Schizosaccharomyces pombe: one gene and its partner. The gene in region 2 interacts genetically with the main gene of each other region. Each region holds a gene or a part of one and is shown on either strand. Other genes may lie near its edges.

Region 1 (5,700 bases), on a different chromosome or scaffold from region 2:
AGAATTTTATGAATTATTACATACTTTGCTTGTTCGTTTTCGCAACCATTGTTCTGATTATCTCTCTGGTATGTTTCATTTCCATTTTTTCACTGTTTCCCCAGCTTACCCTTTATAGATTTGTGCAGAACGGCTGTTCTCAAAGAATACAAACATGTCAACGAGGATACTGAAGATGTCGATGATACTGTTCGAGTAAAGCTACTTCACGACGATGTAACGTACCCTCAATTTATTAAATTCCTCAAGCAAAAAAATCCATCACTTGAAGGGTTAAATGAGCTTTGTCGAATGGAGAATAAGCGTTTATTACAATATGAAGATCGTGCGATTACGTCCGAAGTTAAACTTCCGGTATCGGTTTTATCCAAAGATTCCGACCTAGTGAACTCGGTTTCTTATCTTCATAACTCCATGGAATGGTTTCTTCAGCGCTGTTTTTCAAGATTTATGAACGGTTCGCGAAGAATGAACGTTTTGCAACAAAACCAAGCTAATTTCGGTGGTGACTTTTTACCAATTGATAATTTGTTGGGTAATAATTCGGATTTAATGAAGGGGTATGTTACTGTATGTATTGAACTTTATACTGATTTTTATAAAAGTGCATATAAAGAAGTCTTTGATTCTTTACAGAGGCTCCAATTCGATGCTTTACTGCTAATCCGAATGGAAGTTCGGTTACAGTACATTCATAGTATTAATCAAAGTGTAAACCTTCCTGACTATGTTGTCGAGTACCGCGGAAGACCAGATGCTTCGATAATGGCTCTCAACTCTACTATTGTGACGACGAATTTGAAACTCGAAACCTGTTTGAATGAATGGGAACGAAGGTAAATAACAAATGAATTCCTTATATTGATTTGCTAACTTTTTATAGGTTTGTATTCCAAGGTCTGAGTGAACTGGTTGATTCATCGCTATACTCTATCTTTTACAAAATAGAATCAATGAATAGAGGCAGCTGTCTTCAGATGCTGAAAAATATGTCAGCAATGATTCAGATTCTTAAGACGGTTAAGGAAATTCATGGCGACGTTGAATTTCCTAAATCTTCTAGAGTCTTTGGAATATACCAAAATGGTGCCAAGAAAATTATCGAGCACTTCATTGCTGCCCCCAAAAAGGAACTTTTGCCTGACGTTAAACAGATGGTCCGAATTTATTACCAGCGATTAATGAAAGATGCAAAAAGAAACGGAAGGGACGATCTTTATCGGCAGTATCAGAAAAAGATTGGCTCGGTTTTAACTCAGTTCGACAACACTGTGGGTGGTGCGAGAAAAAATCCTTAACCGTATAATATAGAATTTTAATTATAATGACGAGTAATGATTTTATAATAATAAATTTATTAACTAAAAACATAGATGCATTGGATAGTTTAAAAACTACGTGACCTAGTTTCAAAGATTATATTAAGGAAAATGATTTGTTATATATACAGCGTTTTCCTGAAAGACATAATTTACACAAATAAAACATATTCTTCAAAGATGTATCGGAATAACATCAGAAGCACCAAATCCACGACCGCAAATCGGGCATCTGCGTTGCCGTGTTTCAATCCGTTTTTGTATGCATTGGTAACAAAAGCCATGACCACAGAGAGAAATAATTCGATCTTTCCAGCGCTCGAAGTTACAAACTGAACACTTACACATGGCCCTAAAAGTTTTTAACTCTTCAGCTGACGTTGATACCCCAGTATCCTTTAACTTTCGCTTCTCTTTTTCATGCTCTTCATCTTGCTTGGAAAGTATATCTATAGAAGATGATAAATCTGAGCATTGAAATTCAAGGTCTGTTAATGTAGCATTATTTTTATCCATAAATTGCTGTAAATAAGACACCTTTTCTTCCAGGTTTTGAATAGTTGATTTTTGAGATGACTTTTTGACTTGAAACGTTGTTGATTGTTTTATAGAGTTATTTCGAACCGATGATAGACGGGCTAGCTGATCTTCAAACTCTATTATTCTATGGACAGCAGTGTCTTGGCTATTTAACATTTTTGAGATAATTTCGTTGGTCTTCTGGTACTTCTGGCGCAGTAACTTTACTTCAGCATGAAGACTATCTGTAGACTTCATGGTCAGAAAATATTTTTGCTCCGCCTTTTCCTTTTCGACACTAAATTTGGTTATCAATTCTTGATAATGGGAGTGGCTACTTTTCACAGTTTGCTGTTTTACCAACCTAAATGCTTTTTCAGTAGAAGCCAACTCTTTAGAAAGGTAAGTTGACAGATCTTTTTGTAACTCCAAATCGTTAAGGTCTACGAGCCGGATTTTGTTTGCAGCTTCACGGGTAGCCACCGCTTTTTTCTTTTCCAATACCATTGTCTCTAAATTCGCAAGTTCATCTAACTTGTCTTTGTAGACCTTCTCTTTTTGCTTTTTAGCTTCCAACTTCTTTTCAAGGGATAAGCTTAATTCAGTCTTTGCGTTATTAATTCTTTTTTCATCGTTTTGCATAACAGATATTTGATGATCAAGATCGTTTATTAACGGCTGATAGGAAGATTCAAAAACACCGTTAAAATTCTTTGACTGTTGCGACAATACATTTATTTCGTGAGAACATTCGGACAATAAGTGCTCTAATACGCGTAACTGCTCAGATGTCATAGAAACAGCTTCTTTAAGTGCTAAAAAGGAAGAGTATTTTTTCAAGTTTGTAGTTTCGACGTTGTTTAATGCGTTTTCTCGTTCCATAATTAATTTATCCATTTCATTAACGTTCGAATCCAAAATTTTAAGGCTTTGTGAGCGAGACTCCATTAAACCATTTTGTTGGTCTTGAAGCCTGGATAATTGTTGCAGTTGAGTACGTTGTTCAACCGTGCTAACTTTCTTTTCTTCATCTTTCCCCTTAGAGGAGGTGGTTGCTTCCTCTTTCACTTTAGTAGACTGGGGTCTCACTGATTCATTAATGCATTGCAAAGTAAAACTAGACGAGCGATCTGGTAGTTTTATAATTGAATGAAGCTGAGACCGAGTGGTATCCAATTCATCTAAAATCTTGTCAATATCCAAATTAATGGTGTTTAATTTCTCAGTAAGGGCAGAGTCATCAATTGATAAAACTGAAAAAGGATCTCTGGAGACCGAATTTGTGCTTGAGTCAACAGTAGACAAGAGTTTTTGAATGATGCTCAAGGCTTTAGTTTTATTATTTTTCACAGCGTCATTGAAGTATGAAAGCTCCGGGAATTTCTCCAAAATCGAAAAAACACCTTCACTCTCGAAGTCCTTCAGCTCATTGCCTTGAAACACAACGCTAAACTGCTGAAGTATTTCAGGCCACCAAGAGACCAAAGTAGCTAAAACTTTTAATTTCTCTTCTGCTAAATTTTGAAGTCCCTCTATTTTACTTTCTAACTCATCAAATTGAATGCTCCTCACTCTTACATCCTTTAATAAGTCTTCTTTAGAGACTTCCTTTAACAGAGTTAGCGACATGTCTTAACATTCGAATGCCTAAAGGCTCAACACGTTAACATACCTGAATATCATCATCTTGTATTTCTACATCTTCAAGTTCTCTTTTCTGGCCTAAGATTGTGGGGGCATCTGGTTTACCATTCTGATACATTCTCGAAAGTCGTATACATCAACCTATCAATATAAATTTCCTTTTTTTCAGAACAATTTGTTTTTTAACGAAAAAAGAAAACAGCCAAAACCTAAAAGACAGACTGTATTTTTCTTATACTAAACGTAATAACGCGTAATGAATAAGCAAGTTATAGATACGCGTCTTTACAGATCTATTTCAAATTCTCCTTCTTAGTTGAAACTTGCCGTATTGAAAATATGCAATTCGAAGCGAATTAAGTTAATTGCCATTCAATACAATAAAATGGGTAAAAGTGAAGTGGTAGAGGGCAGACACGAGTTTACGATCTATTTACTCAGTCACTAAACTACTTTAGTGAAAAATTGTCGTATTTGAAGAAATTCGAGTTAACTATCCATCTGGTATCCACTTTAACGAAATGTAAAATTGCGGTGAGTTTTCCTTGTGATCTATTATATTGCAACACACAGGTTGTATAAGTAGCAACTGAGTATAGGTATTGTATTAACTGGGTTATAATGTTACCTATCACTAGTATAGCTCATAACTGAACTGAGGAACGAGGTTCAGTTGTAACGCTATTTATAAATGGCTGTTATCAACGGGTATTTATGTACATAGACGAATAGTTACCTGTGATTATCAACAAGCGGATCTTAACTAGTATTTCAACATATGACATATAGTGATACACTACGTTGCGTATCACTATATGTCACATGTTCTAATTATATATCGTACCATGTATGATACGATATGGAGATTAATCTTAATGATAATCTATTCAGATCTATATTATCTGAATACTATAAATAGAGCTACCACTGAACTGAGGAACGAGGTTCAGTTATGAGCTATACTAGTGATAGGTAACATTATAACCCAGTTAATACAATACCTATACTCAGTTGCTACTTATACAACCTGTGTATTGTAATATAATAGATCACAAGGAAAACTCACCGCAGTTCTACGTATCCTTAAATCAGATACCAAACTGCGTAGCTTACACGTAATTACGATAACAAACCATCGTTCTAAACCACAATATTCTATTATGCTGCTCATTATTTTGTAAACATTAAATTTTGTTTGAATTGAACCATTAAACAGAAGGGAAAAATGATTATTAAGCTTGATTAAATTAAGAATCAAGATGAAGGAGAAATGAATGTAACAACGACAATGAAATTGTGAATTTAACAAGGTGGAACAACGAGTTTTCCGATTTCATTAGTTGATTTAAAGTTGTCGTAAACAAGTTAAACCATTATTGTTTGTAGCGTAGAGTACCATTAAAAAAGACAAATAATTAGACTCGCATACATTATAAATAAAGACTTCGGTCCTCAATGCACATTATCCAACATCGTAGAATGCATTGGTTGAAAATCTTTGGTAATTGAAAGAATAAGTTAAGCATATATTCCATAAACTTATAGTGAAAGAGGATGATTAAAGAAAGTTGGTGCTAATTTTTTAAAAAACGCCGCAGCTTCTCTGCATTGGTGATTTTGGTAAAGAGGTTTTCCAACTGTAGCGACAACTACATTAATAAAGCAATTAGACTTCGCTTTCGGCCTCCGTTTCTTCCAAGGGAATGTCATTATTATCGTTGGCACCTCCAATCGCATTTGCTATACCTCCTAGTCGGGTAAGTAAAAAATCATTCATACAGTTGGTTGAATACACATACCTAGGAAAGAAGCTATACCATTCCTGATAAATTTGGGCATCCTTTTGAGAGCACCTGGACATTCTGATACGGTTAGAGTAAATTACAGGAATATTAAACAAACCCATTTCGTAAAAGAAAAGAAAATTTCCTATAACAAAGAGTGAAGAGGCTTCAATTTCGTAGCCTGTCCCGTCGATATGTTTATCAAATAAATGCATCAAACCTTTCTGTACAATAACGACACAACTTTGTACACCCAGTACTTGAAACAAACCAGAAAACATATGCTTGAGTGTCCAAAATGGAAGACGAACTGCGTGTTAGCGGTCAGTAATGGTAACTCCATAACTTCACATACCATATAGTAAAAATAAAAGTAAAGCAGCTGAAATACTGCATGTAGAACAGATGAGAGCCTTGTCTAAGTTCAAATTACC
Region 2 (5,115 bases):
CTGCATATGGTCAGGATCAATTGTCCAATAATGACCTTTTAAAGTTTTACCCTTGGGTTTTTCTACTTTGATAAAGGCTTTGTTTAATGAAAGGTTGTGCCTAATGCTATTTTGCCAACCACCATCATGGTTGAGGTAGTAGCGAAACGTGTTGCGAATCCACGTATAAATCCCGCTTAAAGTCAGTTGCTTGTTATGTGATTGTAGGATCGCCAAACCGATTAATGTAGCATAAGAACACGGTGGTTTTTCACCAGTATCCACAAAGCCCGCCATTTCATCTCCAAATATCATTTGTCGTATACTGTCACTACTCAGGTTTTCTTTATTCTCTTCACGAAGCAATGCTTCAGTTTCGCATTTTTCTTTAGAAGACACATTGGAAACATTTTGAGAATCATTAATTTTTGAAGATTCCTTTAATGAAAGGCTAAGTATGACCTTTTTGGGTTTACCATGTGCTTCGACATTCCCTTGATTTTCAACCATTTGAACAATTTAATAATTTTTAGAGTACTGATTATTATATTTATTAGGTAATTATTAATGGTATTTGTGTTATTTTGACTCTGTTTTTGGATGACGGGTTTTGTAGTAGGTAGGTGGGAGAGGGCTGGTCAAGCCGTATACAAACAAGAGGTATTTAACCGAGGTCAAAACATGGGTATGGGAAGGGAAGAAAATACCGTAAATATGTAAACACAAGCAAGGAAAAAAGCAGTTTTGTTGAAAATAAAGTAATTTTCTTTCCAATACATTACTTACAAGTCATGTTTTAAGATTATAAATTTAGTAAATAAATAATACAAATAAAAATCTCCGTGCTCAATTTGCTAAGGTCAAGCTTTTAAAGAAAAAAGAAATATAATTAATTTTCTTTGCTTTTTCCTTTTTGTTTTAAATTTTATTTTGAGCTAGAAAACCAACTTTGGCCTTTAATGAACAGTCGCCATCACGCGGAAAGGCCATTAAAAATATTATGGGATGCTCAGCAAATTAAGTTAATTTAAGATATGAAGAGAAAGCCAAAAAGTAAAAAGAGCACATTCGTATGGATCATTTAGGAGTGTCATCAACGTTGGAATTTTCATGAAAAGAGGGTGACTTCAGATCAGATGTGGATTGTTGGTGCAAGCTAGTAGAAGATGGATGTTGCTCGTTGGTCTTTTGGTTGGCAGATTGTCTAGCAATTGAGTATTCAGGAACATATGAGTCAATGTACTTAATATTGTGTTGTGTTTTGTTGGTATCCGCATTTTCGCTTGCTCGAGATGTCGTTTGTACTTTGCTATTATTCTGGTATCTGGAGGACACATTCCATGCTGGTTGTTGAGACTGGGAAGATTGTCTTCCTTGACGGCCGTAATCCGAGGGGTTTCTTAATCGTTGAGATCGGTCTTGTTCAGGCCGGTAGTAGCGTTGACCGTCTGCATGAGAATGATTAGAAGTTTGATTCATAGCGTTAGTTTCAGAAAATTCGGAATTTTTCTGTGGCAAATCAGACGTTAAAGGTTTAAAATTTTGCTGACGCTTAGGCTGATAATTAACATTACGACTTCTATCCATGTTACCGCCTTCACGATTGTACGAACCACGTTGGTATTGCGGTTGTGAGTTATAATTTGGCCGACGAATTCCATACCACGGATCGCTAGGTCCACGAGTCATGAACCGGAACTGTCTCTTACCATTAGCGGTTTGTTCAAACGCATGTGAATTAGCATCTCTCTGTTCTCTTTTCCTTCTTTTGTCGTACTCATGAGAAGCACTGTAGCTCTGTAGTTCAGAAGGGTTTGCTGGATATGGTGGTGTTGTAAAATATTCATGCTCTAAAGCCATTGAAGCAGATAAACGTTCATCCGGATTAAGGGTCAAAATAGCACCGCAAAGAGAAGTCATTTCCTTTCCGAAAGTAAAAAATGCAGTTTCAAGTGTTCTAGGGTGTGAAGGAAAAGAGCGAACGCCTTCGCACCCAGGAAGCTTTTCCCAATTTGGCATAGTAGCTTGAGTTGGTGATCCACAAAGGCGAAAGATTTTATCCAATTGGTCCAAATCACTACTTCCTTGAAGGATTGGCCTTCCTTTATACATTTCGGCCATGATGCATCCCACGCTCCACATATCAATAGCGGTAGTGTAACGACGCTCGCCAAGCAAAAGTTCTGGTGATCTATACCAGCGTGTAACCACACATCCAGTGTATTCTCTACGATTAGGTGGAGGCAAGCCAGGATTTTTGTTTGCATATGACTCCTCCGTTATCACACGTGCGAGACCAAAATCGGCAATTTTTAAAATCCCGTGATTATCAATCAATAAATTAGCAGCTTTAAGATCTCTATGAAGGATAAGCTGATCATGTAAGTATTTGGTTCCAGCAAACAATTGCTTCATATAGCATTTAATTTGCGGCTCCGTGAATTTTACACTTGGATTTTCTAATAAACCTGAAAGGTCATGATCCATATAAGGAGTCACCATATATATAGAACCACGACGTCGATGCTTCTTGTCTGCACGAACAACAGTCATATCAGATAATGGAATAATATTCTCGTGTTTAATCGATTTTAAAATTTTTATTTCGCGAATGGCTGTAATGGGAAACTAAAATGTAATGCTTTAGTATTTATTCATGAATTAATTAAAACAATTAACGCAATCAAGTCGATGCGTCCCAAGTCATTCTGTCAAAATGAACAAGAATCTAAACAAACATCTACTTACACCTTCCTTTTCAGTATGCATGAGTATTCTTTTCAGCGCATATACCTTCCCGTCCTTACGCCGCTGCGATTTGTAAACTTCGCTGGTGAACCAAGTTAGTGATAAAATTCAAAATCAGATATTTGACACATACCCAAATGTTCCTTCTCCTAATTTTTCCATTAAATGATAATCCGTTAAATGGCTGCACCCTACAAAATGAAGTTTGGGTACGACATCTAATTTTCTCCTTGCTGATTTCTCATCTTCGACAGAAACGCTGCTTGAGCGTTTCATTTTTTTAACTTATATTATACAAAAGATCCCAACGATTAGTGAATAAAGTTAATTATACAAATTGTAGTATAAACCCGATCGATGCGCGAAATGTTGCATCTGATGAGGATATAGTGGAAGTGGACCCAACTATCAACTATATGCATTAAATACGGAGGCGAAGTAAAATGCGCTATGTTTCAAAATGAGAAAACAATACTGTAAGTATAGAGAATAAACAATGCTTTTTATAAAGGGAAAAAGTTGCATTAGTTTTAAATATCTTTCAAAGGACTCCCTAATCTCAAATAAATGCGCAAAGTTTACAATTTATGAATCAGGAAAGAGTAGTTATTAAAACTCAGGAATAGTACGTACTAAATTTAGAAAAAGATAGTTGAATAGACTGAAAAAGACATTCAAACTATAAGAGGTATGCAAAGGCCTTAAGCTGACGGGGTGCTCAGGGTGCTCATGTTTTACATGCGGGAACAATGAACGTGCATTAAAATATTATAGACATTAAGCGAATTAATTAGGTCGTTAGTAAAATAAAAAGAATATTTAAAAATGGTTACAATAATTAAGACTTTTAAGATAGAAAGTAAATCCCTTAAGATGGTATGGAAATCGTTTGCGTTGTTTCTAACTCATTATCTAAAACTTCTTGAGAAATTATAGTTTGAGTAACTTCGGTAAATGATTCATCTTCATCTTCCACAATGTAAGCAACGGTATATGCATCTTCACCACAAATTACTATAACTGGACGAGAACTGAATTCTGATGGTTGAAGCCATTGAACCTTCTGAATATTAAAACCTTTTTTTGGAACTCCAACGACCCTGGGTGTATTCCAACTTAAAGCCCAGAAGTATAGGAATGTAGCATTAGACGGAATTTTGGATTCTTTCCTAATTTTTGTTTGAATGACCACCAAATCGGGACGACCTGGATGCCATTCAAAATACACTATATGATGTTTTTGAATAAGAACAGTGTGCAGTTTTTTATTCTGTAAATTCCATAGCCAAAGAACATTAGGATATTTAGAAGTAATTGTAGCAGCATACGTCTCATCACAGTTGAAACGTATTTTTGATGCTGAACAAAAGGAGGGTTCTGGGAAATCGGTTCTGAGTTTATGTACTTTTTGATAAGTCATTTGTTGCTCATAGATTGTTTCCTTCTCTTCCCATATATGCATTTCCAAGTCAGTATTGGTATATTGCAAACAATGGTGAAGTCGAAAAACTATACTAAAAGTTTTTGTTTCAAGTAGATGTAAGGTTGAATCATGGTAACTGCACAAAGTTAGATATTTGCCAAAGGGACTCCACTCAAAATCGGAAAAGCCGACTTCAATTAACCTATTTGGTCGATATTCGTGAAAAAGAAGACCGGTGCGATGATAAATATAAACAACTGCATCTAATACGTTTTCCAAAACAGCTAACCAGTTTCCATCTGGCGACCAATGGATACCCGTCGAATCTATTGTAGGAAGCTTACACTCTTTAAGAAGTATCCATGCCTTTTTGCTGATTTGGTAAAATTGAAGGCAATCCGAACCGTTAAAACGAGATAATATAGTACAGAATTGCATGGATGGATGTAAAGCGTAAACTAAACAGTCAGTAAATTGATATATCAGACAAGAAATACCTTTCGAAACATTGGTTTTTACATGTGGAAGCAAATAACCTTTCTGGGTATTTAAAGACCACACAGTAATCTTCGACTAAAAAATTTGCTATTAGCATCGCAGATATATAAGCAAAAAGTTGTGCAAATTTTATTAGATACAACGTACATCAAAGGACGACCAGAGAAGCAGTTCTCCAGACGGGCTCCAGCTGATACTACTCAAAGGATCCTGGTCGCACTGTATGCTAGCATAATAATCGTGTTGTACAATATCTAATACAAACACTTTATCAACTGAGGCAACACAAATTTGATGGCATTTTTCTGCTCCTAAATTGGGTTTCCATAACAAGTATACAACCTTTTGAATGAATTGAGCGTTTAGAAGGAACACATGGTGAAGCTCGAGGGTTTCAGAATTTCGAATTAAGACATGCCCAGAGCGAGATAAAGACGCAATCCAATTACCACAATGTGAAACACTTG

The links.
Region 1: of cdk9 (region 2) and brl2, changing one enhances a phenotype caused by changing the other (phenotypic enhancement), as found in Schizosaccharomyces pombe (2 studies listed by BioGRID).

Annotation. Positions count from the first base shown.
Region 1 is NC_003421.2:487,968-493,667, reverse strand, and holds brl2 (histone H2B-K119 ubiquitin ligase complex (HULC) subunit, ubiquitin-protein ligase E3 Brl2), read right to left. Parts: upstream 3,888-5,700; 5' UTR 3,601-3,887; coding exon 3,511-3,600; exon of another isoform or gene 3,447-3,510; coding exon 1,494-3,446; 3' UTR 1,299-1,493; coding exon of another isoform or gene 884-1,298; 3' UTR 837-883; coding exon of another isoform or gene 606-836; 3' UTR 561-605; downstream 1-560. Other genes in the region: sec8 (exocyst complex subunit Exo4), read left to right, coding at 1-68, 119-560, 606-836, 884-1,298; wtf antidote-like meiotic drive suppressor Wtf9, read right to left, coding at 5,149-5,231, 5,282-5,344, 5,385-5,576, 5,622-5,700. UniProt on the Schizosaccharomyces pombe protein: E3 ubiquitin-protein ligase which belongs to the histone H2B ubiquitin ligase complex (HULC) which mediates monoubiquitination of histone H2B to form H2BK123ub1.
Region 2 is NC_003423.3:1,468,568-1,473,682, reverse strand, and holds cdk9 (P-TEFb-associated cyclin-dependent protein kinase Cdk9), read right to left. Parts: upstream 3,116-5,115; 5' UTR 3,004-3,115; coding exon 2,861-3,003; exon of another isoform or gene 2,810-2,860; coding exon 2,728-2,809; exon of another isoform or gene 2,608-2,727; coding exon 1,057-2,607; 3' UTR 501-1,056; downstream 1-500. Other genes in the region: DNA-binding forkhead transcription factor, meiotic Mei4, read right to left, coding at 1-489; wdr8 (WD repeat-containing protein), read right to left, coding at 3,596-4,608, 4,648-4,723, 4,796-5,115. UniProt on the Schizosaccharomyces pombe protein: Component of the positive transcription elongation factor b (P-TEFb) which consists of cdk9 and pch1, and which phosphorylates the C-terminal domain (CTD) of RNA polymerase II and spt5.